4 separate regions of the Mus musculus genome follow, and all the other regions are reported to be linked to region 3. Evidence: microRNA targets listed by miRTarBase, many of them from high-throughput screens and not tested one by one. Region 3 holds a microRNA gene; each other region holds the end of a gene's coding sequence.
The links. Region 3 holds the annotated microRNA mmu-miR-503-5p (UAGCAGCGGGAACAGUACUGCAG, at 4,070-4,092, opposite strand). A microRNA usually pairs through its seed, bases 2 to 8, with sites in the 3' UTR of a target mRNA and lowers its output. Matches are read on the target gene's strand: a 7mer-m8 pairs with bases 2 to 8, a 7mer-A1 pairs with bases 2 to 7 and ends in A, and an 8mer does both.

Region 1 (7,842 bases), not on the chromosome of region 3:
CAGCTTGCCTGGGCTCAGAAAACTACAGAAGTGTGTCTTTGTCATGTTCTTCCCAGGATCTATGGAGAGGCCCCTCACAGTCCTGCAGGTGAGCCTGTACCACCCTACACAGGGCCCGGTCGCCTTTGCCCACGTCCCACAGCAGCTGCAACATGACGCCAGCCGGCTGTTGGTTGGGCGAGGACAGAACACCCATCTCCAGCTGCAGCTGCCACAGTTGTCTCGCTACCATTTGTCCCTGGAACCCTACCTGGAGAAAGGCAGCAGTCTGCTGGCCTTCTGCCTCAAGGTGCTGACCCGCAAGAGCTGTGTGTGGGTCAACGGGCTGCCACTGAGGTACCTGGAGCAGGTTCCCTTGGGCACCATCAACAGAATCTCCTTCTCTGGCATCCAGATGCTAGTCCGCAAAGAGGGGGGAGCCTCCCTTGAGACCTTTGTCTGCTACTTCCATCTCAGCCCTTCACCCCTGATTTACAGACCCAAGGCTCAGGAGACAGATGAATGAACCGGGAAAACTCTGTTAAGAAAGAGACTCCCCCTGTTTTGGGGGAGGCAACTCATGAACTCTCGAGGTCTCTCCACAGCCCCTCCCAGTCTCAGACAGCTGCTTCCCTGCCAAGCCCGGAAGAAGCAATAGAAACAAAGTTGCAGAAGGGGCCCTCAGACAATGCACCCCACTAGCCCTGCTGCTTGAGAGCAAACCTGACAAAAATAGGGTTTGAGATGGTAGAGCTATATCCTGTGAGGTTGACACACAGAGTTCACATGTAAAGCCTGCTGGCCGCCATGTTCACAGGGAACTGATTCTGTAAACTTTGAGCAGCCCATGGGGTGGAGAAATGCCCTCCGTAGCTCTGTGTAATGGGAACTTCATATACGTTTAGAGGCCCCCAGGGGTTCTGGAAGCCTCTCCCAGCATTCTGTGCCCCCCCCCATTTCCTCCATTGTCTGGCGAGGAGTTACTTTATGTTCTTCTGCCGAAGGGCAGGAACATGGGGTTGAAACAGGAATGCAAGGACACAGGGAGAAATTACGTTTGAGGTAGCTCCGGGTTCCCTTCAGTTTTCAAATACCCACAGGCGCTCAGGGCTTAGGAAAGCCTGTGTTTAATAAACTAAAAGTATTTCATTATGCTGGCATGCCCAGTAGGATCCCCTGAGGCCCAGATGGGCCACATGTATACCATGTTGTCATGTGGCTTTGGGGGCGGGAAACCTGGATGAGGTGTGAGAGGAAATTGGGAAGGTAGGTAGGCGTACGTTTCTGGGAAGGTTGCAAGTAGAACTCGGGGCTTTTGGTGGGGGTAAGGGGGGCTAGAAGCTAGGACTGTTTGGACATTTCTTTTCCTCCTCCTCCTCTCTCTTCCTCCTCTCTGCCCTCTTCTTGTTCCCTCTCCTCTCCTCCCATCCTCTATCCCTTCTGGACCAGAGCCTTGGTTGGCCAGAGGTCAAAGGTCTATGGTTTTCTAGAGAAGTGGGCTCTTTCAGAACTAATTCTATGGTTGGGATGCAAGGTTGTATAAGAAGTCAACCTAGCAGTTACCTCACTCAGAGTAAATCATATGCCAGCAAGAAGGGGGAGCAGGGGACGAGGGGGGTACCTATCCTTCCTGAACGGACAATGGGGGTGATGGTGGATTGTTAAGGAGCTAAGTAGGCAAGGATGGGAGAATTTTCTCAGAAGGGAGCAGAAGGCTAGCAGGGGGGGGGGGTGTTTACTCATGTGAGAGAAGGAGAGTCCCACAGACTCTGCTAAACACCATACCACCAGATCCTACACTAGAGTACCCCAAACACTCAGGGGACAGTGCTGCCAGCAGACTGATCCATATCCTCAACACCTGGAACACCACTGCCATATACCACCCCGTACCCCTTTGTGCCCAAATCCTAGGTCATATGATCATTACTGTTCCCCAGCTGAGCATGTCTTCCCCATAAGGAAACTAACACTAGACAAGATACATGCGGGCTTGGGAAGCCCCTCCTCCTACAGAATACAGACTGTGTGCACTCAGCTCACAGACACAAGACGTGTGTCTACCTACCTGCGACAGTGCTGGCTATACTGTGAGTGGCGTGTCCCCCTCCCCCCAAGACTCCCAAAGTACTTTCTCCCTCATTTGTCAATGAACTTGCACCAAGTGCCCACCTCACACCCAATATGTCCAAAGTCTCAGGATCCAGGAATAAACAAAGCCGGGAGAATCTGCGTGCCATCAGCTTGCCTGCCTCAGGAGGGAGAAGCGTTCGGGGACAGACAGCTTAATTATTTATCATGGCTGTTGCTATCTTCCCTCTCCTCTGTTCACTTGGAGTTAAGCCCTATCATCGAGTGGGTCTGATGTTAACACTTCTATATGTTCATCCCTCTCCTGGTCGAGTCACAGTGTAATAGGCCATCGAGTGCTGGAGCCAGCTGTCACTGCCTAGTCACTCCTTGCAGTCCCCTAGATAGACACTGGTCTCAAGCATAGTCCACAGGTAAGGACAGTAAAATTCAGAAGGTCAGTAGCCGGGGCCATCTCATCTGTGAGTTGGGTGACCTCAGGCAAGTGAGTTAGCCCACCGTGACCTAGATGTCTCCCTCTGGAAAGCCAGGACGATGAGTATTCCAACCTGCAGGAACAGCAGAGAGTATCTTAGGAAGTGGGACCTGGAAAACACCTAGTGCCAGAAGGAATTAAAAAAAAAGGGGGGGGGGCTGCTATCCTGAGACCAAAGACAGGGAAGCTAAAATATATACTCCTTAAGCTTATTACAAACTTGGATCTTGGGGCGACTTGAACCCCAGTGATCTGGCTCCAGAGCTCAAGGGCTTTCGACACTCTGTGACTCTCTAAGGATTTTATTTTCATTTGGGGCCTGGAGGGAGGAAAAGGGTTTGGTTTTTGGTTTTTGGTTGTTTTGTTTTGTTTTGTTTTGTTTTTTTTGTTTTGTTTTGTTTTAGCTGCCTTTGTATTAAAAGACCTGGGTTTGTAGAACAAGAGACATTCCTGGCTCTGGAGAGTAGAAACTGCCGGTAGTTCAGGCTGATGAGTTCTAAAGGAAGCACGGGTTTCCTGGAGGATTCAAGTGCTGTCCAGTCTGCCTATCACAGAGCAGCTGCCCACAGACAAAGCTTGAGATGACACTCTTAGAGACAGTGTGTGGCCACCAAAGGCTGAAGGGACCAGGCTCTCTGGGTGCAGCTCCTGGCCCCTCTGAGAACTTGTAGAACTGACTACAGCTGCCGACTGCCTCTCTCCATCCCTCTCCCCTCCAGGAGGGTACAACAACCCCGTCCCTGCTAAGGGCCCATGAGCTAGAGTAGAGTACTTCCCCCATGGAGACTGTGTGGTTGGAGGATTTTGGGTGAAGTGTCTGTGCGGTCCTCACACTGAAGAACAAGCTGGAGGGTGACAGGCCAGACACAGGAAGGAGAAGAGCCAGGAAACATCTGGCTTGTTTCACAAAGTCTCCTCAGGAGAATTTCTTTCTCCTCCTCCTCTTCTTTCTCTTCCTTCTTTTTTTTTTTTTTTTTTTTTTTTAGACAGTCTCACTGTGTGGCTCAGAGCAGACTTGCACTCACTGTCCTGCATCTACCCTCCCCAGTGATTCAGTTACCAACCGCCCCTGGCTTGTGTCAAGTGCTCAAGAGAGGAAACTCTGCTAGACTCTGCTCCCCTTGAAAAGTGTAAGCCTCGAGCTGCCAGATTCACGCCCCCTATTCTACTCCTCTATCCCTTGAAATTTGCAGGTTGACTTCAAGACTCTGGTTTGGGGATTTGACGTGGCTTCTCTTGCCTATGCAGGGTCCCCTCTCACCATCTCCTAACAATGTCCTCGGCTTTCCCCCTCCCAGCAGTGCAGTCTGTGTGGCCACAGGCGTGACCACATGGAAGCAAACAGAACATACAGACACACAGACACTCATATGCACAAAACACCAGTAGCTTCAAGCTGGGCTCTGGTCAGCCTGTTGTCTGGGCTACAACTCACATTGCTCACTCACCATCCCATGGTCTTTGGACCTGTGCTTCCTACATGAGAGGCCCTGTAGAGGTAAACTGAAGCACTGCATGTAAACGTGCCTGTGGCACACAGTAGGTGTTCAGGAGGGTCAGTGAGCATTGGCCAGTTCAGTGGACCAAGTAAAGCACTTGTGGTCCTGTGGACTCGATTGCCCATATACATATGCTGCAAACACACCTGCCATAAGATAAATTAATCCCTTCTGATCAGGTGGACCGCAGAGCCCTCAGATCTGGAGACGGACGATGTCTGGAAATTCAGAACTTCTGCCTTGCCCTGCCTTTTGAGGCTATTTTATCCTCACAGGCCTGGGCTTCAGTGACATGTGATTCTTCCCAGCCTGCCTGAGTCTCTGTATCCTCTCAAGGCTGTTGCACTCCCAGTGGCCGTGATGGGGCTGGCCAGAGGATGTTAGGCCAAGAGTGAGAATGAAGGTCTGAAGCAGACTTCACAAAGCAGGCATCGGCAGTCAGAGTCCCACAATGGAAGCAGCCCCTAAGGTCCAGGAGACCGGAGAGTATGGGAGTTCGAAAGATAGTTGTCCCTCCCTCTCCTGCTCAGTGGGCAGCCCAGGGCTTTGGAGAACTTGGCAGTGTTTCCTTTTTCTTCCTCCTTGAGCCTTTGTACCCCAACTTAAGTGGAACCCAGGTTTAGGGCATTTATATGGTGACTGACTGTCATGGAGAAGGGGAGACAGCTCCCTCTCACCAGCTCTTTCAGCCTCCAATAAAGAGGGGCAAGGCCACAGGCATGCCCAGGCGACCCTGAGAAGGGCCCTTAGCTGTGGCTGTCAGGAGTCAGTTGGCTAGCCCGGAACCAGGCCAGTTACCTGACAAATATCCTTTCCCTGGCCCCCTTTCTCGAGCATGCACCAGCAATACCCACCTTGCTCTGCAAGCTTGCCAGCTATACACACCAGCCCTGCTTGAGACCATAGAGCACCAGGAGACCACCCTGCCAGAGATCTGGACAAGATAGTTCTTAACCTGAAGGAATACTTATTGCTACACAAAGAAGCAACAGTCAAATTTGCCAGCAGGGCAACAAGGGAGCACCACCAGGGCATTGAGGGAGCACCACCAAGGCACTGATGGAGCACCACCAGGGCACCCAGGGAGCAGTGGCTCCATAAATGTGGAAAGGAAGCCCTAGTTGAGGGGCTCAGTTTCAGTCCTCCTAGTGTCTGGTAGAGCTGAGGACACGGCCTGAGAATCATTTCTATAACTACCCACTGCACAACCAGGTTGCCATCCATCAAGAGGTGTCACAAGCAAGCAAGCAAGCAAGCAAGCCTCATTGAATGTACATCCTCTTCCCCCCACACCCCCAAACCAGCTGGGGCACCTGCCTCCTACTCCATCCACTGGCTCCTGCTTCCCCTGCTCCTGCCCACGGCCTCTGGGTTGTAGTCACTCTCCACTGCCCCAGGTCATCCATCTAGCCAAGACTTGGGGGGAGGAGTTAAGTCCTAGGAGGAGATGCTGATTTTAATGAACTTGGTTCACATTGCAAGACTGATTCCTCTTACCTTTAACGTGAACTCGCAGGCGGATTAAAGTGAAATAAAACCTACTATTTGAGTTACATTTCCAGCTTATTGGAAACATGCACTACCTCCCCGCGACTGGGCCGTGAGAAGGGAAGTTATTATCTTTCTTTAGAGTTTGTAAACGCTTTATGGCCGAGGCATTAAGCCTGCCGGGGTTGGGGGTGGGGGAAAACGGAGGGGGAAAAATTGTTCCTGCTTACCTTTGCTTTCCAATCGCTTACTCCGGTGGGAAAGAAGCAGCCCAAGTGAGCGACGGAGAGCCAGGTGAGCCGCAGCAGAGGAGTAGAATCATTTTCTTCTGTAAGGCATGTGAACCAAAAGGACATTAAAGTACCATTTGGCAAGGGAGCTTGTTCTGTCCTCCAGAGAGGCTGCAACTCAACCCCACCACAACCTCTCCCTGTTCTTCTGGTATTTATTTCCAGGAGAAAAATGGCCTCCATCCCCGAGAGAAACCCATCTTAGAGAGAGTCTTTGTGAAGGGCACGACTCTGGACATTTGGAAGCAAGGAGGAGCCAGAGAAAGGGCACACCCAGTCAGGATCGCATCCATGAGGGAACGAGGAACTCACCGTGTGGACCTGGCTCCAGAGAAACAGACGATCTCCCTCTCTCCTCCTAATCCCTCTGCGTACTATCAGCACAGAGAAGCCCCCATGCTCCAGACTTGGAGTCCAGCTTTCTGCCTCCTGGAAGGAGACCTGCCCAGGATGTTCGCTCTACCTTCTCTTAAAGCTATGGAGACGGGGGATGGGGGTAGGGGGTCTTCAAAAGCAGAGGTTACCCAAGAAGCCAGTGCTTAGCCAGGCCTGACATTTCTGGTTTTCTTTTCTGCAAGCTCAGATGTCATGATTGCTAGAAGTCTTCCAAAGAGTCGGTCTCAAACAGGGACACTGTTACATATCCTTGTTTAGAGGGTTTTAATCATCCAGGACCAAGTCAGGCAAACAAACCCAGTTTCAAGTATTAAACAACAACAACAAAAAGAATTTTAATTTGAGCGATTGGAGCCCAGCACGGGAGAACTGCTGAGAATCTAAACAGGAAGTGGAATTCGGAGATTAGCATATACAGACATGGCAACCACGGCTGGCTGCATCCCTGTAACTTCAGTGGCCACTGAGAGAAGGGGTATCAGGGAAACCAGGCTCTGTCCTGAACAACCAGGAAGGCCTTTTGTGGAAATGGAGGCCTCTGAGGGAGGAACGGCTGGTGGCCAGCTGGGGCCACAGGTGGCTCCTGAGTTGGCAAGAAGAGTTAGAGATGTCTGGGTTTCTCGCCTCTCATGATCCCACCACCTTCTAATAGACCTCCCTCTGGCAGAAGCATCGGGCAAAGCAACCTGAGACTGGGCTACCTGAAGGGTCTGAGTCCCTGCAGCACAGAGCAGAGAAAGGAGAGACACGTTAGACACGCAGGCAACCAAACTCCAACGCAAGCCCTGTGTGTTCTGTCTCAGTCTTCCTTAGCCTTGTTGAGGCCCTAGGATAGCTACCAAGTAGGGTGTGTGGGGGCAGTCATAGGGACCTCATTGCCAACCTCTCCCACCTAAGCACCTGTGGGCAAGCAGATGGTACAGCCTAGTAACACACAAAGAAAAGCCAGGTGTGGTCTGGCTTGGCTCTCATGCATTCTTATCTGGATGCTAAAGTGCCCTGCTTTGACGGCCTCCTTCTGGGGAGTCATGGCACAGAGCAGAGAGAGAGAGAGGTGTCCAAAGAAGACCAATACTCAAATCCTCACTGTTCTCCATTGATTCTAGAAGCTTCCATTACACATGCCACCTTCTCCTCACCTATAAAACGGGGATACTGTTAGTGCCTATCCCACCTCTGTGAAGATGTCGGGGGGGGGGGGAACCCAACATATAAAGCAACTTAGTGCATGGACAATGCATTAAGTGCCAACTATCTCGTTAGCCATCAGATCCTTCCAGAAAGACCCCTGACTGCTCCCACTGAGAACAGCCCTCTACCATCCAGCTCCACGTCAGTGCTGGGACCTTCAAATGGGACAGTTATCTGTGGCACATTAAGTCCTCATTTCCATAGGGGTCAGTATGATGTAGTCTGGTTGCTAGAACTTCTCACCAGAAGAACCCTATATGTGGCAGAAACGCTCTCAGACATGATTGACAGCTGCCTGGCTCTCAGTCGGTCTTCAGTAAGGCCCTGAAGGCAAGAGTGGGGTGAGCTATGAGGAAAAATTTGATTGGGTAAGAGCAGGCTTCTAGGGACCAAGCCCAGCAGACACTGGCTGAAGCCTTGATAAAGCTGTTGC
Region 2 (8,016 bases), not on the chromosome of region 3:
TCAATGCTACATAGTTCATTGCTGTGTTAGAGCCATCTTTGCATCACCACAGTTGCACTCTGTCCTGTCATTAAGTAAAACAAAGGTGATTTTGATGTGATATTGTGACAGAGAAACTCATAACCAGGGTGTCTGCTAAACGACAGTACAGTGTAAATATGCTGGACAAAAAACATGATTCAGTCCTTGTGTGGTTGAGTGTGGTGATATGATTTCATTGTACCATGCAGGAAAGTGGTCAACCAAAGCTGTGACAATTGCTTATTTCTGGAGTTTTTCATCTAATATTTTCAGGCTGGTTGACTATAGGTAATTGATCACTCATTTTGAGGAAAATCATTTTCATGCATGTGGTGTATATGAAAGAGAGAGAGAGAGAGAGAGAGGGAGGGATAGAGAGAGAGAGAGAGAGAGAGAGAGAGAGAGAGAGAGAGAGAGAGAGAAAGTGCCTGAATGGAGGTCAGATGTCAGCACTGAGTGTCTTCCTTCATCACTCTCATCTGAGCTTTTGAGACAAGGTCTCTCATTGAATCTGGAGCTCACCAATTCTGCTAGGCTGGTAAATCAATGAGCTCCAGAAATTTGCTTCTGTCCACATCTCTTAATCAGTGCTAGGATTACAGATGCACATTTCTGCTCCCTGTTTTTATGTGAGTCCCGAAGTTCTGACCTCAGGTCCTCATGCTTGTGTGGTGAGTACTTGATCAACTGAGCCATCTTCCCAGCTAAGAAAAGGTCATTTCTTATATGAGCCTAGTTATTGAAATCCTTTGTGAGAAAGGTTCTTAATTTATATTTAGTCTTAGTACATTTAAAAAAAAGTAAAAGCAAGCCCTTTATAACAAATGTAGTAAGCCGAGAACCAAATACCAATGTTTTTTTAAAGTTATTTTTATAAGTTTAGATGGTTTATTCCAGGATGATGAATATTTTAAAGACATTTTACAGTCGATTTATAACAATATCTAACATGGTGAGAAAATACAAGAAAGAGTCATGAGTTCATTGAGGGTTTATGATTTAGATGTGAGGGATTATACAGGACAGTAACACAGTTTAGACATTTCCAACATGAAATACTTCTTAACAATAGCAGTTTTATATTTCTGTTTTAAAAATGAACTAAGTTGAAAAGCAGATGTGTTAAAATAGTTTTTCTTGCTAACACAGGTGAAGTAAGGATCGGTTTGTGTACGTAATTAATATGCCAGGATAAATAGAAGGGAAAGAGTGATAGAGAATGCTCAAGAAGTCTAAAGGAGATAGGGAGATGGCTCAGTGGTTAAGAGCACCAATTATTCTTCCAGAGGAGCAAGGTTGGATTTCTAGCACTCACACAGTGCTCACAATGTTCCGTAGCTCCAATGCCAGGGCATCTGTGGGCTCCAGGCATCATGCATGTAGTTCACATGCAGCATACAGATGTGTAGCTAAAGAAGTCTGTAGAGAGACCGTGATGGGTTACACATTTGTCACGTCCTTTATTTTACACAGAGGAGATGTCTTAAGAAGTATAATACATCAGAGAAGGGCTCCAGCATGGCAGTGGAAGGGAATGGCTTTGGGAAGGGTCACTGAGTCCATTTGCTTCAAGAAGAAAATAGCAGATGAACGGATGAGCAGATCTGAGGACAGGTTCTAGAGTTCTCTCAGTGCTAGCCTAGGAGTAGGCAGTTATCCAGGCGCCGAGGAGCTCCTTGGGGACTCTGTGCAGGCATGTATTGAAATGAAATAGGATTTTAGGAAGGTTCATCAGTGGTTTGAATGGTGATGAGGAACCAGAAATGACTGGGTATGAAATACAAATTATATAGTTATAGCAAAGTCCAGGAGTAAGTGGAGAAACGTCTTGAGTTGCATGTGTGGCTCTAGGACACAGAGTAAAGAGCTGGGTTAGAGGAGAGTTCAAACATAAAGCTTATGGGAGGGAGGATATACAAATGAAGGAGACAGCAAACTATGACTTCACTTATTAAAACTTCAGTTATGATGTAGAAAATAAGGACCATTATTTATGTAAGAGGTCATGGGTTTTCTAACTCCAGAATTGTCTCCCTTTGTGATTTCTTTATTGTTTCTATTTCCATTTTTAGATCCTGGATGGTTTTGTTCAGTTCCTTCACCTGTTTGGTTGTGTTCTCCTGTAATTCTTTAAGGGTTTTGTGTGTGTGTGTGTTTCCTCTTTAAGGTCTTCTACTTTGTTCTCTTGTATTTCTTTAAGGGAGTTATTTATGTCCTTTTTAAATTCCTCTATCATCATTATGAGATGTGATGTTAAACCAGAGTCTTGTTTTTCTGGTGTGTGGGGAAACTAGGATTCACTGTGGTGGGAGAACTGGGTTCTGATGATGTCAAGTAGTCTTGGTATCTATTGCTTATGATTTTTTGCATTTGCCTTTCACCATCTGGTTATCTCTGGTGTTAGCTGGTCTTGCTGTCTCTGACTGTGGCTTGTCCCTCCTGCAAGCCTGTGTGTCAGTACTCCCAGGGGACCAGTTCTCTCAGGGAGGAATTTGGGTATGGAGAGCTGTGGTACAGGGTAAGCTCTGGAGTGCAGAGACCAGAAGGATCCTGTCCCCAGCTGATCCTTGCTTCCTGTGTCCTGATGGCTCTGTGAGTGTCCGTCTTGGGCCAGGAATTTGAAGAGAAGTGGTAGTTTTACCTGTGCTCTCAGTTGGGTAGGCACTCCTGGGAGACCAGCTCTCTCTTGGCGGTATTTTTATATGTAGCTCTGTGGCACAGGATCAGCTCTGGGTGCAGACAGAGACTGTAAGACTCCTGTTCCAGGCAGCCCCTTGGTTCCTGTGTCTTGAGGGTTCCAGGCAGGTTCTGCTGAGCAGCAGTGGTGGTTTTATCTGCACTCACAGGCCTGTCTGTGCTCCTGGGAGGCTCCCTCCCTCCTGGCACTATTTGGGTATGGATTCCTGTGGCAGAGGATCTGCTACAGGTGGAGTCAGAAACCAGAGTGCCTGTTTACTTTTTCTTACTACATTGTTTTTTTCCTGGGGTTTATGAATCAGAAAGACTATCATGTAGTTATATAAGTAGTTTGATGAGTTAGTATTCTGATGTGTTGCTGAGACAGATTCTAAGATGAGCAAGAAAGGACTCCACCTGAACCAAGTCGTTCTTTATGGAGCAGAGAGGTCATAAATGTAAACACAGAAGAGATTTCTCTTTATAAATCTTACAATCTTCTTTGAATCATTTTATGTAATGACTTAAGAAATGAAAGCAAAGTAAATGTGTTGAATCTAGTTATGGTTAGACATTTATTTAATAAAATGCTCACAGGAAGTTGAAAGCTGGAAATAGCCAAGATAGCTATCAGTAGGAGAAAGGAATTTTAATATTAATACGGTAGAATTTCAGTTAGCAATGAGAAGGAATAAATGGATTCAAGCAATCAAGTGGATGAATAGTAAGAATAATAAACTAAGTCCAAAGCCATGTGAAAAAGCACATGTTTTATAGACCTGCATTTATATGCCATCTAGGGCAGGAAACACTAGCCTGTGGAGAATATCGGCCATCATCCACAGTGAGGAACTCTCTAACTAACTAGACTAAATCCTGACACAGTGTGGCTGACATAGGTGTGTGCTGTTCTCAAAACTCAAGTGGCACATTTAAGATTATACCAACAACGTAAATAAATATTATATATTATACTCAGTGAATATGAGTACTGACATTCATTTACACGGGGGTGTATAATGTATTCTCTTGTGTAAGACTAATACCTGCAAATTACTTTAAAATATCAAAATATGTAAGACATTGATTGACAGATAAATAACAGATAATTGCATAGTAATGTATGAAAGTCAATATAGTAACATATGGCTTGCTGTAAATAGTGTTGATGTATGGGTGTTCACTATACAGTTTCTCCAACATTTCTGTACATTTGAAAATGTTCATAATAAAATATTGGGAAAACTTAAAGAACGTTGAATGTATATAAGCTTTTAAATAACAAAACCTAGCTACCTAATAAGTATTTGTCTGTCCATCTGTCAGTGTATCCAATTTTTTAAAATTTATTTCAACGCAAAGTAACTCTTGGAAAACAATGAATTTTTTTTAACAGTATGGGAATCATTAAAGAGGCTAAGCTTTGTGAGGACCTTTGAGATTGAATCTTTTTACTTGAATCTTTTCCTAGTTTTCAGTACTTTCAAAAATGGTGATGGTCTTTTTTTCTTGTATAATATAATGGCATCTGAACTGTAGAGTTTTCTGAAGATTCAGTTGGTGAGATTATATAATACACTCACCAAGATGCTGTGTGTGTAATGAACTTTCAATCAAGAAGGAAAAGGGGCAAACAAAAGCTGCGCTGTGAGACCTATCAGTCGGGTGTCCTGCAAGAGCCAGCTGTAGGAAGTAACAAGTGCTTCTGACAATATTAGATATATTTCCCAATAAAGTGCCAAGCATAGAAATAATGGGTTAATAATTTTAAAAATTTGAATATTTTGTTTTCTTAAAGGTGCAAAGGTACCCTATGGAAGAGTGAGGGGGAGGACTGAAGTAACTGAAGGGGTTGGCAACCCCAAAGGAACACCAACAGTGTCAACTCACCTTGACACCTGGAGTTCCCAGAGACTAAGCCACCAACCAGAGAGCATACATGGGCTGGTCTGAAGCCCCCCTGGCTCATATGTAGCAGAGGACTGCCCTGTATGGCCTCAGTGGGAGAGGATGTGCCTAATCTTGCAGAAACTTAATGCCCTAGGGGAGGGGGAATTCTCTGGGAGGGGCACCCTCTCAGAGGCAAAAGGGAGTGAAGAACTCTGAGAAGAGATACCGGGATGGGGACAAAAAAACATAAAGCCTGTAACGATCAAAAAAATATACTAAGAAACATTTCTCCATGTATCTCTAGAAGTTTAACTAGCTAGGCACACTTGCTGTGTATCATTTCCAAGATCCCCAGATAGGAGATGAGGAAACTGAGGTGGGTTCCTGCCCACAAGGGGTTCATGCTCTGTAAGCCAAACAAGTATGCAGAAATGTGCCTTCAGATGGAAAGCTAAGTGAGTAGAGTGTAAATGGGAAATAGAAGTCTCTAGAATAGAGCTGTCTAATAGAATTCCTTGCACTGATGAAAACAGTTTGAATCTGTGCCTCCTATTACTAGTGAGACCCACGAAGCACTTGGGATATGGCTAAGAAACTTTTATTTACCATGTAAGGCTAACAGCTATCACGCTGCACAGTGCATCTCTTGAATGTATTTATCAAACTATCTGAGGACAAAGACCACTTTAAATTTCCAGTCTGTTATGAATATATATTTAGAGATGGCAACATGAATCACAGATTGAAGTGAAAAAGATCAAGAGACATGGAAAATGACAACAACTTAGATTTTCTTAATATTAGATTCAACAAACAAAAACTATTCTTTCTAAATTATTATAAAAAATTTTCTAAACCCTTCTGAAATTTATGTCACCAAGTGTCTTGGGCCACCCTTTGAAGCAGGTTTCAATTCACCTGAAGTGCTTAAAGATAAATATTTTTTCTAAAACACATTATATTAAAGTGACTAATTTGGGTGGACTTTTTTGGGGGGAACATATTTAGATACAATTCAGTAATGCAGTTACTGAATTAACACTCTTGGAGGTGTAGGTTGTTGACAGTGCACTATGGATAACTTCAGGGCAGCCTGGGAAGGCTTACTTGATCTTGGAAAGCCGTTTTTGGAGTTGAAGGTACATGCAGAAAATTCCTTCCTTCTGTAAAGTTCAGCCCGGTGCTTACAGCAACCAAATCTGCTCAGCAAGAGAAAGAAATCTCTCTGAAATGCCTTCGTGAACACTGCGTACAGAAATGGGTTGGCACAAGAATTGACAGGATAAAAAAGGACCAGCAGAACTTTTGAGTTGGTGACAGTGATAAGGGGTACTTTGAAGGCAGCTGAGATGGCAAAGAATGAGATGGGTGCCATGCATGTGAAGTCTGTGAAGATGAGGATGGCCATCTTCTTAGCAATTTTTGTGTCCTTGTTAGGAGCCGTCAGCTCTGGATTTTGAACTGCAAAGTATATCCTAACGTAGCAAGCACAGATGACGACAAAGGCCACTGCATTGAGGAGCAAGATGGATAATATGTAGACTTGTGACAGAGTGGATTCCACATCCATGGGGAGGCAGATGCTGACTTTCATGTAACTGCTGACACCCACAAGGGGCAATGTGGCCATCAGGGTAGAAAAAATCCATCCTCCGAGCATAATTGGGATGGCATGTCTCAGCCTCAGCTTTTGGTCCAGCTGAACAGCATAGGTGATGGTGTGCCACCTTTCCAGAGTGATGACTGTAAGGGTATAGACAGAAAGTTCACTGGCGAACACAGTAAAGAAGCCAGCTGCACTGCAGCCACTCCCTGTCTGCCAGTCTATGGCATGGTTATAGTACTGGCCTTTTGTTTGGGAGTCTACTGAGGCAATGAGCAGCAGGTAGAGCCCCATGCAAAAGTCTGCAAAGGAGAGATTACACATGAGGAAGCGGGGCACCGTCAGTTTATAACGACTGGTCAGGAGAACAAAGAGGACTGTCAAGTTGCCAAAGATGGCTAGTATATTAATTAGCCAAATCAACACCCTAAGGAAGGCATAGCCCATAATATCTTCACAGGGATTGAAAGCATCTGGTTCTGGAGTACATTGGAGTGTCTTGGGTGAACAGAAGTCATAATCGTAATCCCAGCCACTGAGTTCATTCTCCTCAAAGATGGCAGAATAACTGCAAGACAAACATTGGCTTGAGGGAAACAGAAACGGTTCCCGTGATTCTGAGTATTAAAAGAAATTCAAGAATCTTTAGTGGGCTTTTAAAGCTCAAGAAACAAAACAAAACAAAACAAAGCCATCATGGTCTTAGCCTTACATCTATTTGTTAAATTATCTCATTTGATGGAATTCTTTCAAAAGAAAATGAAAAGCTATCTAGACACTATAAAATATATCTGCTTAACACCCTGATGCAAAGACTTAATGACGCTCTTTACAAGGAATGATTTTCTTTGAAAAACAAGTTTAGAGACATAATATATACACACTAAATAAAAAAAAGTCCCTTCTTGACATTTTCTTAGCTATTCATCTTATTTAGTTGCTAACCAAATTGCTAACAAGCTGTTTATAGTAGCACACAGTGGGATTGGATGGTTTGCAGCATTAAGAATCATCAACTAGTGGGGACTTGTTTGCATTGAAGTCCCTGGTTAATCCAGTGTTCCACATGGGTACTGGGAATCAAGAGCAGATGGCTGAGAGTATAGGAGTTGAGGGAGAAGAGGGACAACAGAGAAAAGGATGAACTCAAGAACTCCTTAGGGCGCAAATGTGTTCCTGGGCCTGCATCCATACTCTCTCTTGGGGCACATCTATTGGCTTTTTTTTTTTTTTTTTTTTTTGACAGCCTTATCCAGTTTTAGTTCTCTCCCATTCCAACCTCCTGGAAATGCTTTTCCAAACAGAATTCTGAGTTCTACTTATCCAACTCGACCCTTCTCCATGCCTATGTGATAAATTCACATGCCTTTTGATGATCCTCAAGGCTTTGCTTTTTCTGGGTTCTGCCTACTGGAAATTTTCATTCTCTCTTGATCTCTTTGGTAAATTCTCTCTCATCCTGAAAGGCATGTTCCTCAAGGAAGTTATTCTTGCTCCTATTCACCAGAGACTTTATTATCTTTCTCTGCAAGAGTTATACTTAGTAATCAAAACAATTTTACTAATATGCACGTTCATCTTGTTTAATATTATCTTAGTATTGAGACAGGATATCATGTAGCCAAGGCTGACCTTAAACTTGCTACACAGCCAAGGTTGGCCTTAAACTCTTGATCCTATCTCCCAAGTGTTAGACTATAGGAATTAATGCTCATGTTTGACCAACTCTTAATTTTGGGGTGTGTGTGTGTGTGTGTGTGTGTGTGTGTGTGTGTGTGTGTTTGCGTGCATGCTCATGCACATTTGTCTCTCTGTGTGTTGGACAT
Region 3 (8,016 bases):
ACATTGAATCATGCATGGGTAGGTGACTTACAGTCATTACTTAATCATGAAGTCAATCTTGAGCCTCAGTTAGGAAGTGTCCAGCAGTTAGACTCTCACTCGTCCTTCTTAGGACTAGACAGTTTCAACTAGACCTTTTCTAACCAAACACACTAGTTCAGCTCCATTTTCTGTCCTAATCACTATGGTGTAAGCTTCTGATGGCCAGGCAGGAATGTTACCTGGCACAGCATGAAGTCTGCATGATGCAGTTTCCCAGGTTTCATCTTCAGAATCCTCAGGTCTCTCGAAACTTTGTCTGCCTTACTTATCTCTCAAAGTTGTAAACAACAAATCTATGAAAGCAGTTGGGGCCGTAAGTGAACAGAGGAAATGAAGGCAAGTGCTGAGATGAGGATTGTAAAGATTTGGTTTCTAGGGCACAAACATTCTGCCTTCACTCTGCAGAGTGGAGGTGGGGGAGGGGTAGCAAAAGACCCGAAGGAAGGAGTCAGGCTGCAAAGCAAGCAGTATTCCCAGCCCCCAACAATGCCCCCGACTTGGAGCTGGGGAGGGGAGCGGGAGGGGGGGAGTGCGGCGGAGGGGGCGGGAGGGGGGCACGCTTTTCAATTTTCACCACTTGCTCCGAAGACAGAGCTCAAGAGTAAAGGGGAGTGCTCCAAGGCTGAGGGACCACAGGAAATGGAAATCGTTAGAGGCTCCTCCCACAAGGCTCTAAGCCCCTTTAAACTTGAGGAGGATATCAATTGTGGACCCAGTGCAGGAAACAGATGAGTGAAATATTAGGACAGAGCCAGGAGATCCTAGCTCAATGGATGGGCATAAGGCAGGCTGAACTGGGCCTCGGAGATACAGATTTGCTATGATTGGTGTATACATACTGTGTTTCGTTTTAAGAGGCATACAATAACTCTACATAAAGATGAACGTATAAGTTTCTGGCATCATGAGAAATGCTTCTGGACAACGGGAAAATAGATCTCTAGAAATTAATGTTAACTTGGTAATGCCCACAGCTCAAGTCTTTTGATCTCTATCAATATATATTCATTGATCTTCCTGAAGCATACTTTTTGAACCTATTTGTATTTTTTTTTTAATCTGCACCGTCTCTCAGGAAATCTGCCTATTAATTAATTTATGTCGTGTAGATTCATCATGTTTCCCTTGCTGTTCCCTCCTCCTCAATGGATTGACAGGTATGGTGCTTTAGAATAATCAGTAAAATAATGGGCATTGCAGAGTCCTTCTTGGGTGTTTGTTTAATTGGACAGTTGCCCATGTTACTGGACATCAAAAGCAACACAGAATTATTTGGTCTCCCAGCACTGGAGTGTATCCAAATGTTTTCCTGTTTAGGATTCAACTTTTCTCCTTGTCTGCGTGCATGCATAAATGCTTTACACAATTACATTTGCTGACTTTTTCTGTGGCCCTGGTTATTGGCATCTAGTTTTTCCAAGTAACATTGACACACATCTGTTCAAATCAATTGACGCTTCTATCAGGACTGACTCATTTGGTGGAAAAAACAAGTTTACATGCCAACTGGAACAAAGGAGCCTAGATTTGGGGGAATAGCAGGAAAAATGAAAACGGTGGGGCCGGATTATTTGACTTACAGATCATAAAACACTTTCCAATAACATTTTAAAAAGGTATACAATATTACACTAGTGACTGGTTATATACTGTACCCCCCTAGTTGGGTGGTTTTCAATATCTAGTGTGGTAAAACGCATATAAATTACAGTTTTTGAAAGATGATTGTACTTTCTTGGAACAGGAGTCTTCTGTGTCCACATCCCCAAGATTGTTGATGTAGTGTTCCCTTGTTGGAAAACCAAACCAAACCAAACCAATATGGCTAGCAGAAGATGCCTTCAGAAGTATTCCTGTTATTAAAATTGTTACAAAATTATGTTCAATTCTAGTGTATCACAATAACCTGAATATCTTGTCCTACAACTTACAGAAATGTCAGAGTTTAGATTTAGAGCCAGGCTAAGCTTTTCATAGTTTTAAGAGCCATGTCTGTCTAGTAACCTTTTACAATGCCACGTGCACACAGCTTCCTCACTAACAAATAACATGTGTTGGGGGAAAAAAAACGGAGAAAACAATGGAGAGGTGCCTCTTTGAATGTGGTAATGGAGGATCAATTAATCAGCCGACCATAAATTGAATCACTTTATACAAGTCTCCCACACATTATCATGCACATTTAGCAATGTTTGAAAAACAATTTAAAAGAATACCTTAGGGAGTTGTTAAAGGGAATTTATAATCTGGAACGAATTGCCATCTTCTTAATTGACATAGAAGTGTTTGGCTAAAATATTGCTTTATTCACATTTTGCCCTTGGAAGAAAATCGAAGCACATCATAACTTCGACTAGGCAAATAAAGGTGCGAAGAGCATTTCAAATCAAAAAAGGGCACCACGCAGCCAGGTGCTATGTGGATGAGCTCAATTTTGGCGCCCTTGGGCACCTTGGGCTAATGGCATCTTAGATTCTTAGTCAGTGGCCTTAAACCTGGATCATTTGCTCCTCTGCTCTAAAGTCCCCAACCCACCTGAATCTCACTTGAATCTTGCAGGCACCCACTGGAAGCAGCCAGATGGCGCAGGCCAGATTCTTCTGGGTGAGTGGGGGCCTTCAGTGAGCCCCGGCGCTCTTCCTCTGGCATAAGGCAAAGCCCTGTTGAACAGTGGAGATGGAGAAGGGAAGTTGGTGAGGGAGAATAGGAAGTCTCAAAGTGCCCCTCCTCCAACCCTGCGCATAGGAACGCGGGGCGCCTGAACCTGTTAGCCATTTGTCTTGGGGATTCCGGGCCAGAGGGGCCCTGCCAAGGGGAGGGGTGAGGCAGGAGCTGGGGGGCGTGGCTTCAAGAAGCCAAGGAGATGGGGGCAAGGCGTGGCTTAAGTTCCAAGGGGTTTCAGTGCTCCTGGGAGCCAGGGGGTCCTTGGGGGCCCAACGGGACCCAAACCACCTCCCACACCTTGTTCAAACGCAAAGGAGTCTGGGAGAAAGGCATTTGGTGGCTAGAGCTAGACTCCCAGGCTCACAAGGCCTCCTCTAACTGTACCTTTTATGGGGGCCTGCACCCAGTCCCTGGGGAAGATGACAAGCAGTTCATACAGACCAGAAGGGTGTGTGTACATGTATTTTATTTCTTTTTAATAAGACAAAGCAGCACGATTTCACCCACACTCCGTTTTCCAACAGTCCTTTACATGCCTATACTCCAGATTATGGAAAGTGATTTTCACAGGAAAAGTACAGTCTTGCTCCAGAAGTTTAACACTCTTCTCCAGTTCCCAGGCGCCTCTTGACCTGTTTTTTTTTTTCACTCCAGGCTCAAAGGGCTCCTCAGGGAAACGGAGGTGCCATGATTAATCACAGCAGAGTTTGGGATGTCACAAAGCAGCCATTTTCTCAGAGACTTCTAGGCAGTGACAAGGGTGTCCCCATGTCCCCACTGCCATGTAGAATTGTGTGATGACTTTGGGAAAGGGGGATAAATGGGGACTAGAAATGCAGAGCCTCACTGAGGCTTCCTGTTGGGCCATTGCCTCTCATTGTACCACCTGGGGGTCCGCACCAGCAAGACACGAAGAGATCCAGGGACACTCCCACGGACCCCTTAATCTTTCCTAAACTGCAAAGAGAAATGGGGACTTTCTCAAGTCATCCTTCCTGCCCTTCAGAACCCTTCTTATTCCTTTTGGAAGGACCCCTTCTCCATTTTGTTGTTGAGGACTTAGGACAAATTTTCTTGTTTCGCTCTTGTGGGTGGTATACTACTTGATGACCAGGAAGTGCTTTTTTTTTTTCCCAGTTGATTCACTTTTACCTGAGCAGCAAGTGAGGCGCTAACAACACACTTTCAGTCACACCCAGTCAGAGTCACAGATCAGCAACTCTAGTTGGGAGCTGTTCTAGAGTCTCCCTCCCATGGGGCCTATGCTGCAGGCTAACCGAAACTTACCTGGTGGGTGTGCCCATGTGGAAGACCCAGACTTACCCAGGCAGTGGAAACAATACTCCAGGGCACCAAACACTCACTGCAGTACTGTTCCCGCTGCTAGGGCACGACTGAGTGGGATGGGCTGAGTACAGGATGCCTTGTCCCTTCTTCAAGTGAATTGCCACCTTGCTATTCACACCCACCCAGGCCCTTGGACTGTGTAGAGTGACCCTCACTAGACTAAGCCCCTGCCCTCCCACCTACCTGCTTTAGGGCTTTTAGTAGAACCCACACAGGTCTGTTCAGCAGGTCCCCACCTTCTACATTCCCCACGAAGGGGTGTTGCAGCGCTTCATGTTTTGAACCTTGGCAATACTCCAAAACATGAATTGCTGCTGCAGCCCTTCGGAGTCAACGAGGGTGGGGGCCGCTCTGGGGTACCTGCGAAGGAAGAAAGTCTCTGTGATTTCCAGGATCTGCTGGTGAGGCAAAGGGTGTACTGTTGGAAAGCAGGGTGTGGTGGATAGTGGGGAGGAGGAGACTCTTACCTCAGAAAGTAGATGAAAAGTGGGATTAAATAAACTGAGACAATTTGGTAACATCTGGATCACTCTTGCCAGCTCCAAAGTCTTGGTGAAACTTCCTGCTACCTTGTATAAGTCTCATTTATTGTCCCCGGGTTTTGATCATTTATTGGAAATTGGTGCAAGGAACTTTTGATAATCAAAAAAAAATCCCTCTGGGTAGTCCCAGTTGGTTTTACTGAATACTATAGGCATGGAATAGACTTGTCTAGTAGTTTCCTCCGTTCTTACAGTAATCACCTCGTCATTAGTTATTTTTAAGGACAAAGCATGAGAATGTTCTAGATGAAACATACATTCCTGGATGTTCTCATACATTGCTGGCTACTCAAGCTTATTTATAAAGACATTTGTTACCATCGACATCAAATCACAAATCAAGAACTTTAAATAAATGACATCCTTAAATACTTGATGTTAAATACAAATCACTCCTTCTTAAGCCACGCCACTGAAAATCTTGTCTTGAAATGGCCGGCACTGTGCGCTCTCCTCAGCTCCCACTGTTGCTTTTCAAAATGGACACACATGAGCAACAAGTTACATTCATTTCCTTGTTTAAACAAAGCATTCAGGAAAGCACAAAAACCATCCTTTAGTCCTTAACCACAAACCTAATAACTAAAACAACAAAACTACAGTGCCTTTGAAAGCAAAAAACATTCTGTATACAAATTTCCTGTATTCTCATTTAAAATTATGTCCGTTTTTCGAAACTAGTACAATGAATGCTGGGTCCTTTTAATTAATTAATAAAATATACAGAGTATGTAATTAAACTAAATACAAAATTCCTAACATAACAGATAATGATCCAGTGCTAACATATGCATTGCTTAGGTCATGATAAATAAAGCCATTAATAATAACAGCCCCACTCCTTAAGTTGGAATGAAAATTCCGTCTTTTCTTGGCTATATTACAAGTCATTTTTACATGGACACGGAATTGTGGAGGAAAAAACCATCGATGGTCACCTTTAAAAAGAGGAGAGAGAAAAGCCGTGTTTAGTAAAGATACAATTATACTTTAAAGATACGTATTTTTCTCCCAATTTAACTTTATGTCCCACACAAATGTCACATCAGAGATTGCAATTCCTCTTAATTTAACATTTCCTTAGTTGACTACTCATAAAAACAAAATTCATTCGAGATAACATCATCAAAAACGAAGGTCTTACTAGATAATTTTGTTAACGAATACACTGGAATCAAATTCATCTCTAGATTATCCTTCATCCATTTCTTTTCTTCCCATCACTCTACAACGACTTATATCCTTAAAAAGCCATCTCACTCCCTGGGTTTGTGTATTTCCCCTTGGGCTTAACTTTACTTACGAAAAGAGAGCACAAAGAGATGTCTGGTCACTTCTAGAGAGGGTCATTCGCTGATACAATAGACAAAGAATCAATACTTTAGGGTTACCATGGCCCCACCCACTTCAGAACCACGACGGGTCAAAATGGCCCCACCCACTTCAGAACTGCGAAGGGTTTGGCCAAATGATTTAAGAGCCAAAGACTAAGCCTCTTCCTCTCTTCCCAGTTGAGAACGTTTTGTCTTTTAATGTTGCAGATGCCATGCGCCCCCACACCCAAAACATGATGCACAGGTCCTCCGCACCTTCCAGCCAAACTTTTCCAATACTGGAAAAAAAAAAAAAACAACTAAACAACCTTGAAAAGTTTTAATTAGCGAGAGACAATGGAAAACGAATTTTACGGTTCTTTCCAGGACATTCTTTACTGCTTACAAATGAGTGGCCCAAAGTCCCATTTACAGTCTGTCAAAACTAGTTGCTCCCCACCCTGGCAAGGCTGACAGCCTGAGGCTGCCCGCCCCTCACTCATTTCTCTCTCCCCACCCCTCCCCGTTTACTCTTCTCAGTCCACTTTCTGAGAAGTTCCCTGGCCACACTCACTTGCTAGACATTTTAAAGATCTGTCCTCCCCCCACCACGACCCCCGGACACGCTTTCCACCCCCACACCCCACCCAGCGCGACGCATAACATTTTTTTGAGAATTATCCCCGTATCTGTTACAGTCTGTAGTGACCAGAGACATAGTTGGGGGCGGGGGGAGGCGGGCCAAAAAGTTCCCTTCCCCCTCGTTTTTTTCTTTTTTAGATTCTAAGTCACCTCTCACTCCACTCGAAAATGGCGCCGAAATCGTAGAACTTCTTAAATTTCATTGTAAGCTTTTTGCAAAGGTTTCTGGGATTTTCCTGCGAAGCTGCTCCTCAGCGTCGACCTAGAAAACAAGCCGGGGAAGCTAGAGAGAGGAAGGAAAAGGCGGGCGGGGAGGCGGACAGACAGACGGACAGCGAGAGAGAAAGGGCGGAGGGGTGTGGCGAGGTTGTGAGGTTAGAAGAGCGAGTCGCGGAGACTTGGGAGGGCGCGAGGTGGCGGTGGTGCGGGACATCGAGGGACAGAGGGACGGACAGCCGGGGAACCGGGGTTCGCGGGGCGAGGGGCTCACAGAGAGGCGTGGCGGAGAAGAACCGGAGCCGGGACGGAGCTGGGCTGGAACCGGGCTGGAATCGGGCTGGAACCGGGCTGGAATCGGGCTGGAATCCGGCTGGAATCGGGTTGGAGCGGTGCTGGAGCCGGCGGAGCTGGCGGAGTTGGGCTGGAGCCGAGCGCACCCCAAGAGGCGAGCGGGAGCAGCCAGCGCCCAGTGGTCCGCAGCAGCCCTAGAAAAAGCCGGCCCGGGGGGCGTGGCCATGCGCTGCTCCGCGCCCCGCCCAACCATTCGCCCGCTCGCTCGGAGGCCCCGGAGCGGAAGGGGGGAGGGGGGAGGCCGTGCGGACACGCAGAGCCACAGCCTTGGCCTGCAGCCAGGAAGGGCCGGGAAGGACACGGGGAGCCTGGAGTGGCCACGTACAGAGAGCCTCATAGCCGCGGGTGCAGGAGACAAAAACCAGGGAGAAAGGGGAAAGGGGAAAAGCGGGAAGGGAAGCAACCAAGCTCCAGCTCAAAGACCCATGCCACAAATGACACTCTAAAGTCACTAGGGCCCAAGTCTTTGGGGCTACCAGGAGGGTACAGGGCGGCTAAGCCAAGCCTCTTAGGACTATTTTTCTTGGGGGTGCCTGAAACAGGATGAGGAAACAAGGGACCCTCAGATTGCAGAAGGGAAGTGCTAGGCGCGCGAGTGTGCCCAGGCTCTGTTGAGTCTTCTGTGCTCTGGCCTCTCTGCCAAACTCTCCCTCAGGTAGAGGACTCCCTTAGGTCCTGGCGGTCCACTTTAGGGGTGGGCATGACACTGAGGCAGGGAACGACAGTTTACTTATACATGTCCAGTCCAAGAAGGAAAGTCTTTACTACTTAAGTTTTGAGTCTGGAGTAGGGAAAGAAAGGGAGTCTTTCTTCTGTATGCTGGATATCTTTAGGGACGGCGCTGTTTACCAGGGAGGTATGAGAACGGTGTTGAAGTTAATAGCAGGGTGTCCAGG
Region 4 (8,016 bases), not on the chromosome of region 3:
ACCTGGATCACGTCCGCCCATTCTGCGCATTTGCACTGAGACGTTCCTGCTGGGCCTGGGTTGGTTGCATCCTGTTCTGCATTTGGAGCCTTTGCCCACAGTCTGCTGCCTTCTCTTAGGGCTCCCTCACGGATTACCTCAAGGGGAACATCATCACGTGGAACGAACTGTGCCACGTGGCGGAGACGATGTCACGAGGCCTCTCATACCTGCATGAGGATGTGCCGTGGTGTCGTGGTGAGGGCCACAAGCCTTCTATTGCCCACAGGTACCTGATTAAGGAGCCTCTCTGCAGGTGGGGTGCAGTTGCAGAGTTGCCTCTGCTTGCTTGAATGTGCCTGTGGTGTGTCAGAGCAAACCTGGCCTTCCTGTGTGCTGGAGATAGCTAGCTTCCAGGCCAGCGTTCTGGTGCCCTCTGCTGGACCCAGGAGAGAGTGTGGACTCTGTTACTCTGGAGAGCTTCACACGCTCAGACTGTGGTCAGAACCTTTTGTATCCTTGAGAGGACTCTACTTACCTAGTCTGTGTCGGTTATGTTTGCTGATGCTTGCCGCTACAGAGCTCATGTGTGTTTATGTGTCATCATGATAACATTAGCTGTCCATTGTCGGGGGTGGGGGGTGGGGGTGGGGTGGGGGGGGTGGGGGGGGAGGAGAGGCAGATGATAGCTGATTACCTCCCATAGCACTGATTAGGATCTTAGGATTTCTGAGCCACGCCTTTGTTCGTTTGGTTGGTTTGGTTTCTGTTTTTTCCTAGGCAGGGTTGAGTGCCTGCACCCACTCCAGCGCTACCCTGCCTGTGCGGCATTAGCAGTTGATTCTAAATTCTTGTTCACATTCCAAACATTGTAAAATCGCAGAAGTATGTGCATGCCCTGTGAGAAACTATTGGTTGGCTTTTAGTGGCGTGGTCTAGGGTCTGCCCAGCTGCCAGGCACAGCCTCCCAGGACTCCCAGGCTGTTTTGTCTCCTGCCCCACAGAGGTGGGATGGTTTGAACTGGGCGCTGCGGTCACGTACTCTAGTGCTCGGAGAGCCATGGTGGCAGCAGGGTCATGGTCAGTCATCACGAGGCGGGCTGAGTCTTGATCCTGTGTGTCAGTTGGCGCTTGGTCTCCACAGGGACTTCAAAAGCAAGAATGTACTGCTGAAGAGCGACCTCACCGCGGTGCTGGCTGACTTCGGCCTGGCTGTTCGGTTTGAGCCAGGGAAGCCTCCTGGGGATACCCATGGACAGGTGAGGGACCTGGGCACTGGGAGGAGGGGCTGGAGCGGCTGATGCTCTGTGCTCCGCTGGAGCGATAGAGCTACCTGGGGACGTAGACTCACCAAGAGAGAAAAGAAACCAAGGCCGGAGGTTGGTGAGGCTTCCTCCAGCCAGGCTAGCAATTTGGGCTTCAGCAATTCCTCCTTGTATTTCAGTTTTTCTCTTTCTGTTGTAATTTTATTATATATATATTGTATATATATGAAATATATTTATCTTTGTGTGTGTGTGTGTGTAAGGGAATCTGTTTTTTTCCCCATCATGTGGGCTCCTTGGATTGAACTTGGGGTCGTGTGGCTTGACATCAAGCACCTACTACCGAGGAACCTGCTTGCCCTCAGTTTTAGTTATTAAGCGAGATTAAAATCAAAGGCCATGAAAATTAAGCCAGCAATCATCCTAGGAGAATCTCCCTGTGGGTTAAACATGCTCTCGACATTTTGTTTCGGCCTTTTGATTTCTGCTGTTTATTTAGCGTGTGTATTTCTGTTTCCACATGAGTGGCATGTCTGGGAATGGAGGCCTGAGGTAGTCACTGGCACCTTCCTTGATCACCTAAAACCTTGTTGATTAATACTGGGTCCTTTGCTTGGACCCAGATCTCTTCAGTTAGTCTAGCCGGCTTTCTCTGTGGACTCCATCGCTGTCTCCCGTGTTGCAGGCAGGTTGTTACATTTATGTGGATATCCAGACTTTCATCTTCACACTTGAGTGACAGGTTCCTTAGGAGCTAAGTCACTTCTTCATCTCCCCCTGGTCTGTTAGAGCGTCTGTCTCTGTCGTTCAGATTGGTCTGGGACTTTTGGTTCTCCTGCCTCAGCCTTCTGAGTGTCTGGCTTTGCTTTAGGTACCATCAGAGGCAAAGCCTCAGAGTAGCTTGTTTGGGATGTCCTAGGGCCTGCAGAGCTGTCCGATAAGCACTGCCTCCAGCTCGTGGTGTCATCACAGTTATCAGCTGGAATCTTCACTCTGCCTCAAACGGGATGGAGCAGGCTTTGGCTCCAAGGCTTCCTGCTTAGAATTCCACTCTTACCCAACCTGGTGCATGGCGCTTCTCCCAGCTGAGTGTGATTGTGAGTGTAGCTGGTCTCTGGAGATCCTGCCCTTTGTCTGCCTGTAGGTTGGCACCAGACGGTACATGGCCCCTGAGGTGCTGGAAGGAGCCATCAACTTCCAGAGAGACGCCTTCCTGCGTATCGACATGTACGCCATGGGCCTGGTGCTGTGGGAGCTCGTCTCTCGGTGCAAGGCTGCAGACGGTGAGTGGTTTGGCGGCTCTGGGCACCCTGGGTTGGGGCCTTGGAGCCGGGCTTCGGGTGATGCCATCAGCCCCTCATCACTCAGGGCCTGTCGATGAGTACATGCTGCCCTTCGAGGAGGAGATTGGCCAGCACCCTTCGCTGGAGGAGCTTCAGGAGGTGGTTGTCCACAAGAAGATGAGGCCCACGATTAAGGATCACTGGCTGAAACACCCGGTGAGGGGGCTGGGCTCAGGAATCACAGGGCGGTGTGAAGGGGAAGCTGCCGCGTTCCCGGGACTCTAGGGACATATCTCAGAGGTTGTGGAGAATAAGGTAGGCCCTGACCTCTTTCTTGAACCTGTTGTAGCTCAACATGGAAACGTTGGGCAAATTTTTGTGTTTGGGCTTGGTGTTTATTTGACTTGAGTCCCAGTGTCCCAAGATGAGCAGCTGCAGCTGCCTGCGGGGAGCGGCCTGTGGTGAAGTTTAGTGAACATTCTCCTGGACTGGGAGGAGAGGGGTCTCGGGGACTGCTAATTGACCTGCGATGGTGGTGACAGGGCCTTAGGCCCTTCCTGATCCTCTCACACAGACCCACTGGCTGCCTTCATTAGGTGGCCCTAACAAGGGTTCTTCCCCCCTCCCCCTCCTCTGCAGGGCCTGGCCCAGCTCTGCGTGACCATCGAGGAGTGCTGGGACCATGATGCAGAGGCTCGCCTTTCTGCAGGCTGTGTAGAAGAGCGGGTATCCCTGATCAGGAGGTCGGTCAACGGCACTACCTCGGACTGTCTCGTCTCTCTGGTGACCTCCGTCACCAATGTGGACCTGCTCCCTAAAGAGTCCAGCATCTAAGCCCGGGACACGTAGCGTCTCTCCAGACTCAGTGGATCTGAAGAAAAAAAAAAGGAAAAAAAAAAAAAAGAATTGTGTTTTGTTTTGGAAATCCCATAAAACCAACAAACACATAAAATGCAGCTGCTATTTTACCTTGACTTTTATTATTATTATAATTATTATAATTATTATTAATAATATTATTTTTGGATTGGATCAGTTTTTACCAGCATATTGTTCTACTGTATTGCAAACAGCGGACACGTCAGCAGGCGTTGCGGTGCTGAGCTGTGAACGCAGAAGCGGCGCCATGCTGAAGAGCCTCAGCCACCTCCTGTCCCTCGGATTCATCTCCCCTCTTTCTCTGTCGTCTCAGAACCTGTAACACAAAGAAACTCCTGTCTTAGGAAACTCAATGCTGCAGTTCTCTACTAGAGGAACCTTTGAAGACTGTTACACGGACACACCCTTCCTCCGAAGAGGGCCCCCCACCCCCACCCCTTTATTTTGCGTTTCTCCCACCTCAGGCCGTGAGCTTAAGAAACGGCGGCTGTGTTTGTCTTCGTGGGTGTAATGGGTGTCGTCCTGACCCAGCCTCGGGGAACTGCGATCAGGAGGGCGGTCTAGTCTGAAGCCAGAAGGGAGGCTTCTGGGTAGGGTGCGGAGCAGAGCTACACTGGACTTGGGCACATTTGGAGCAACACCCTTGGCTATGGAGGCTACTTTCTCAGGTAACAAGGGGTTGAGGGCAAGGACCTTGTGGAGGCCAAGCGGTAATAATAGCAAGCACAGGATTTGGAGAAGGCCCAAGAGCAAGGGTCAGGTTGCCCCACCTGTCTGGTTTCTTCCCACTGACGGGCTTGGCCATGGGAGAAGACGCAACCTTGCTCCTGTGTTAGGACCAGGTGAGGGCGTGACAGTTTAGTGGACATTCTTCGTTATACATGACGCTGTAGAGCTCTTTCATGGAGGAAATACCGAGCTGCAGTTTCCTCTTGGCAGTTTGGGGAGATGCCTGTGGCCGACCCTGCACAGCGTGGATGGGCCAGAGGATCCCTGGTGGGGACCATGCCAGCCTGCAGCTTTGGCATGGCCCCATGCAGTGCGGCATTACCGAGTCCTCTCTGAGGCTCACGGGTGCGGCTTTCTCCAGACCCTTTTAAAGTGGTGCATATTCTTAAACTGTGTTTCTCTTACACCATAACCTCGCTCGCTCCAGGCGGTGAATGTTCTTAATGCTGCTGTTTCGACATTGGATTTTTTTTTTTTTTAATTTATGAAACATGCTAAGGTTTTTTTTTTTTTTTTTTTTCAGACAGAACACACACATCCACATATATACACATGCTTTGCTGTGTGGCTTCCGAGGCTTAAATTTTAAAAAGTGAAAGAAGTAACTTCACGGCCACAGACCACCTCAAACCAGAAATACCTCAGAATTTTCTACTTGTGTATGTTTTATTAATTATATATTTTGTTAGTTGTGTTGTCTTGTAGGAAGTATATTTTAATGTAAGTTGACTTTTATGACGAGGAAGTTTAAAAGAAATAGAGAAAAAGAAAAAAAAAGTTTGTGTCTTCTAGTCAGTACTACCATCTTTGTTTGATAAAAGCGCCCTTGTGAATAGCAGGCACCAGCTGTAGGTTGGCTGTCTGGGCTGAGACGGGCATTCATCTGGTTTTGACTGTATCATTAAAACTGCACACCTCTTGACCTTGAGGGTAGATAGGCCACTTCCTCCCGGATTGCTTAGAGGTCCACTGGGTAGCACTTGGAACAACACGCCCACTTTACCTTGGTGGTAGCACGGCCCTCAGACCCACCGGAGGTAACAGTCTGTGACATTCAGTTCTTTCAGCAGCAGCAGCAGGTGGAATTCTGTCCGGCCAGTAACTGCGCTGTGATGTCTGGGAGGGCACGGCTCACAGCTGGGCAGCCGCTCCCTCGGCGTGTTGTGTGTGGTGCCTGAGTTGTTCCTGGGCTTGTTTTTCTCTGTGGGTGTTTGTGCACAGGGTGCTGAGGAAGGCTAAGTGGTTTCCCTTCCTCTCAGACTTAGTATGTTTCCGTGGGTCAGTGTGGGCTGGCTGAGGAGTTCAGGGGACGTGGACTCTGTCTCTCTAAGCTATGTCTGTCCCTCCCCCCCACCCCCCACCCCATCTGATTTTGTGCTGTGGTATTTTCTTGTCTCAGAATACTTTCCACTGGTTAACAAGTCTTAGAGCAGTTGCTTTCTTTTCCATTTGTTTCTTTAAGGAGCTTTAACTATTTATTGAAAAGTGCCATATATCTCCTTTCTCTAGCTTTCTCCTCAGGCGGTGGGAACACCCCTTCTTCTAACCCTTAACAAACCAACCACTAAGGAATGTAGCTCTTTCGCTGCAGGAGTGACCCAGTCACCAGTCACATACAGTGCCAAACTCTAAAACCCAGCTCCCTGAGTGGTGTCAGGACCCTGGGTGGCTTTTCTCTTGTGTTGCTGGTTGTCAGAAGCATCCTGGCCTGGCTGAGCTCTGGTATGGGACATCCCAGTGAGCCCTGTGTCCAGCCACGGCAGTGTCCTTGTCAGACCTCTTGTCAGAATGGATTGATTGTCAAGACAGGGTTCCTGTTTTGTGGCCAGGAAAGAGGAGGAGCTTGGGTGCTGGTGTCTCTGAGTAGGGGCTGTAGACTCCCTCTTGCCTTCAGGTAACATACCCAGCTGCTCATAGCTGGAAGGTGGGTGATATTCCAGGGTGTGGCCCGGAAGCTTAACTTCCTTCCTCCCTCCCTTCTTTTCCTTCTAGTTTCCTTCTTGTGCCCAGTTGAGACCTGAGGCTTCTGCCTCACACTTTCCTGCAGGTTTTGTATCTATTCCCCTCTCCCTCTTTTTGGACGACCAAGGAGGAAGTCCCTCTGTGTGGCAAAGGATGAGACATGGGGGGGGGGGGGGAAGGGCTGCGGGTGCTTCCTCCTTCCTTCACTCCAAACAGAGCCCATGACCACCAGCCTTGGCAGAGAATGTTCCGGTTGATACCTGTGACAGCGAAAAGTCACCTGTTGAGGGAAATGTCTGTGAGTCAGAGACAGACAAAGCAAGTAAAGGCAAGGTCGCTGAGTCTCGAACACTCACTGACAAGGTTGCCGAGGAAGGCTGTCAGCAGTTGTTAGCATCTGGGCTAGCATGGGCTAGCATGGGCTGGCCTGGTATCACGGACACCAGATGCAGGGGGAAATGTGGGCCTTCTGCTCATACATCCACAGGGAAGGGCGGATCCCTTTCTCATCACTGGGCTACCAGGCCTGCTGGGCCTTCCTGACCAGGCTTGAGCTTCTAGCAAGGTGCGTGATCCTGTCTGTTCTGGTCTCTCTTCATCCCTGGCATTGACCATGCCCTTGACTCTCTGTCTTGCTACTCTACCCTACTCTGCCCTAGGGCTTAGGCTCTGTGAAGGATTTTTCTTGGTGGCCAGCCTACATAGGTATTTAATGGTTGCCATGTGCTCTTCGGCTCAGAGAGCCTGTCATGTGGCATTTCCTATGCTCGGCCACTGAGGCAAAGAAGTGACTGTCCCATCTAGAGCTGGAGGGCCGGATGGTTCTCTCACACACAGACTTTGGTTCTCTCACACACAGACTTTTACCTTTGTAGTGTATGAAGTTCCTGGTGCATCCTGGTGGCTAGGAGAATGTCCTCGTTGTTTTTCCTACTTAACTAATGCAGTAAAAGCTTACTGTGCTGTGAGTTGAATTCCTGCCGTTGTTCTTAGGACATGGTTCATTAGATGAATCCCTGAATCTGAGGAGCTCTCAGGTCGCTCAGCTTGGTCTCTGGCATCAGCTGTTGCATCTTTTTGGGCTTTTGGAGACACAGCTTTGGACGTGATCAAGCCTGGTCCACATCTCAGGCAGGACTTGTAGAGGACAGCTTTCCTAAAAGTGTGGGAAACCGCCAGGAAGGGATGGTGTCCCAGGAATCCTTTCCTCTCAGAACCTGGAGACATGGCTTTTTCTTCATCCCTGGCTGTCTGTAAAGGCTAAATTGAGAAGTGCTCAGCAGCTGGCTTGTCCAGCGCAGTGATGAGGTTAAACCTCAGCTAACATCATGTTATATAAGTAGGCCCAGTAACTCAGCTGATGGGTTTCTTAGAATCTAGATGCTAAACGCTCCATGCATTCAAGATTAAATGCCTAGTTCTTCTTCACACACAGTTCTGGGTAGTTGACTCGTAGCCAGCAGCCCTCCTGTGGATGTACCCCAGACCTTTAGAAAGATGTTGAGGAAAGTGCTTTTTGCGATACCAATTTAGTTTTATAGGAAAAAGAAACTGAAGGTCAAAACACTCCCTTGGAAATCAACTAGTTGGTTCAACCACGTTAAAGAAGAAAGGAAGAAGGAAAGAGAGTTTAAGAGGCGCGTGAACTATCGTATCAATAAGTATGCCCAAGTTCTTTTGTGGGATCCTTGGGATAGTGCTATTTGGACCTATCTGTGATTAATGACTGTGAACCACTGTTGGGCTGACCGTTTGCAGTGAGATCAGGAATGCCTGCGTCTGCTGGCACTAAACCAAGCTGTAGCATTTTCATGCTGGCATCTTCCAGGTGTGAAGGAAGCAAGACTTTGCCCTCCTGGTGCTCCGTGGAGCTCCTTAGTGCCCAGACCAGCGCCATTTCCCCCATCCACGGCAGCTCC

Region 1: miRTarBase lists Tifab as a target of mmu-miR-503-5p. Seed matches in the 3' UTR shown: 7mer-A1 at 2,703-2,709.
Region 2: the mRNA of Lhcgr is a reported target of mmu-miR-503-5p. The part of its 3' UTR that is shown has no 7-base or 8-base seed match.
Region 4: miRTarBase lists Acvr2b as a target of mmu-miR-503-5p. Seed matches in the 3' UTR shown: 7mer-A1 at 3,484-3,490.

What each region holds. Positions count from the first base shown.
Region 1 is chr13:56,168,848-56,176,689 of GRCm38, reverse strand. It overlaps Tifab (TRAF-interacting protein with forkhead-associated domain, family member B), which reads left to right. Exons shown (of 3, transcript NM_001168615.1): 3 at 57-2,987. The coding sequence starts at 62. The coding sequence ends at 505. It overlaps Gm31657 (a long non-coding RNA gene), which reads right to left. Exons shown (of 8, transcript XR_382472.1): 2 at 5,763-5,860. Among named protein-coding and RNA genes, the nearest start is that of Tifab, 6.1 kb to the left of the region's middle.
Region 2 is chr17:88,736,380-88,744,395 of GRCm38, forward strand. It overlaps Lhcgr (luteinizing hormone/choriogonadotropin receptor), which reads right to left. Exons shown (of 11, transcript NM_013582.3): 11 at 895-6,758. The coding sequence ends at 5,615. Among named protein-coding and RNA genes, the nearest start is that of Lhcgr, 52 kb to the right of the region's middle.
Region 3 is chrX:53,049,958-53,057,973 of GRCm38, forward strand. Mir503 (microRNA 503) reads right to left here and starts at 4,097; the gene lies at 4,027-4,097. It overlaps C430049B03Rik (RIKEN cDNA C430049B03 gene), which reads right to left and starts at 7,233. Exons shown (of 4, transcript NR_038185.1): 1 at 7,041-7,233; 2 at 6,701-6,812; 3 at 6,185-6,207; 4 at 3,155-5,533. Mir351 (microRNA 351) reads right to left here and starts at 3,396; the gene lies at 3,298-3,396. It overlaps Mir322 (microRNA 322), which reads right to left and starts at 4,392; the gene lies at 4,298-4,392.
Region 4 is chr9:119,430,101-119,438,116 of GRCm38, forward strand. It overlaps Acvr2b (activin receptor IIB), which reads left to right. Exons shown (of 11, transcript NM_001313757.1): 7 at 120-268; 8 at 1,124-1,238; 9 at 2,389-2,527; 10 at 2,613-2,743; 11 at 3,167-8,016. The coding sequence ends at 3,361. Among named protein-coding and RNA genes, the nearest start is that of Exog, 11 kb to the right of the region's middle.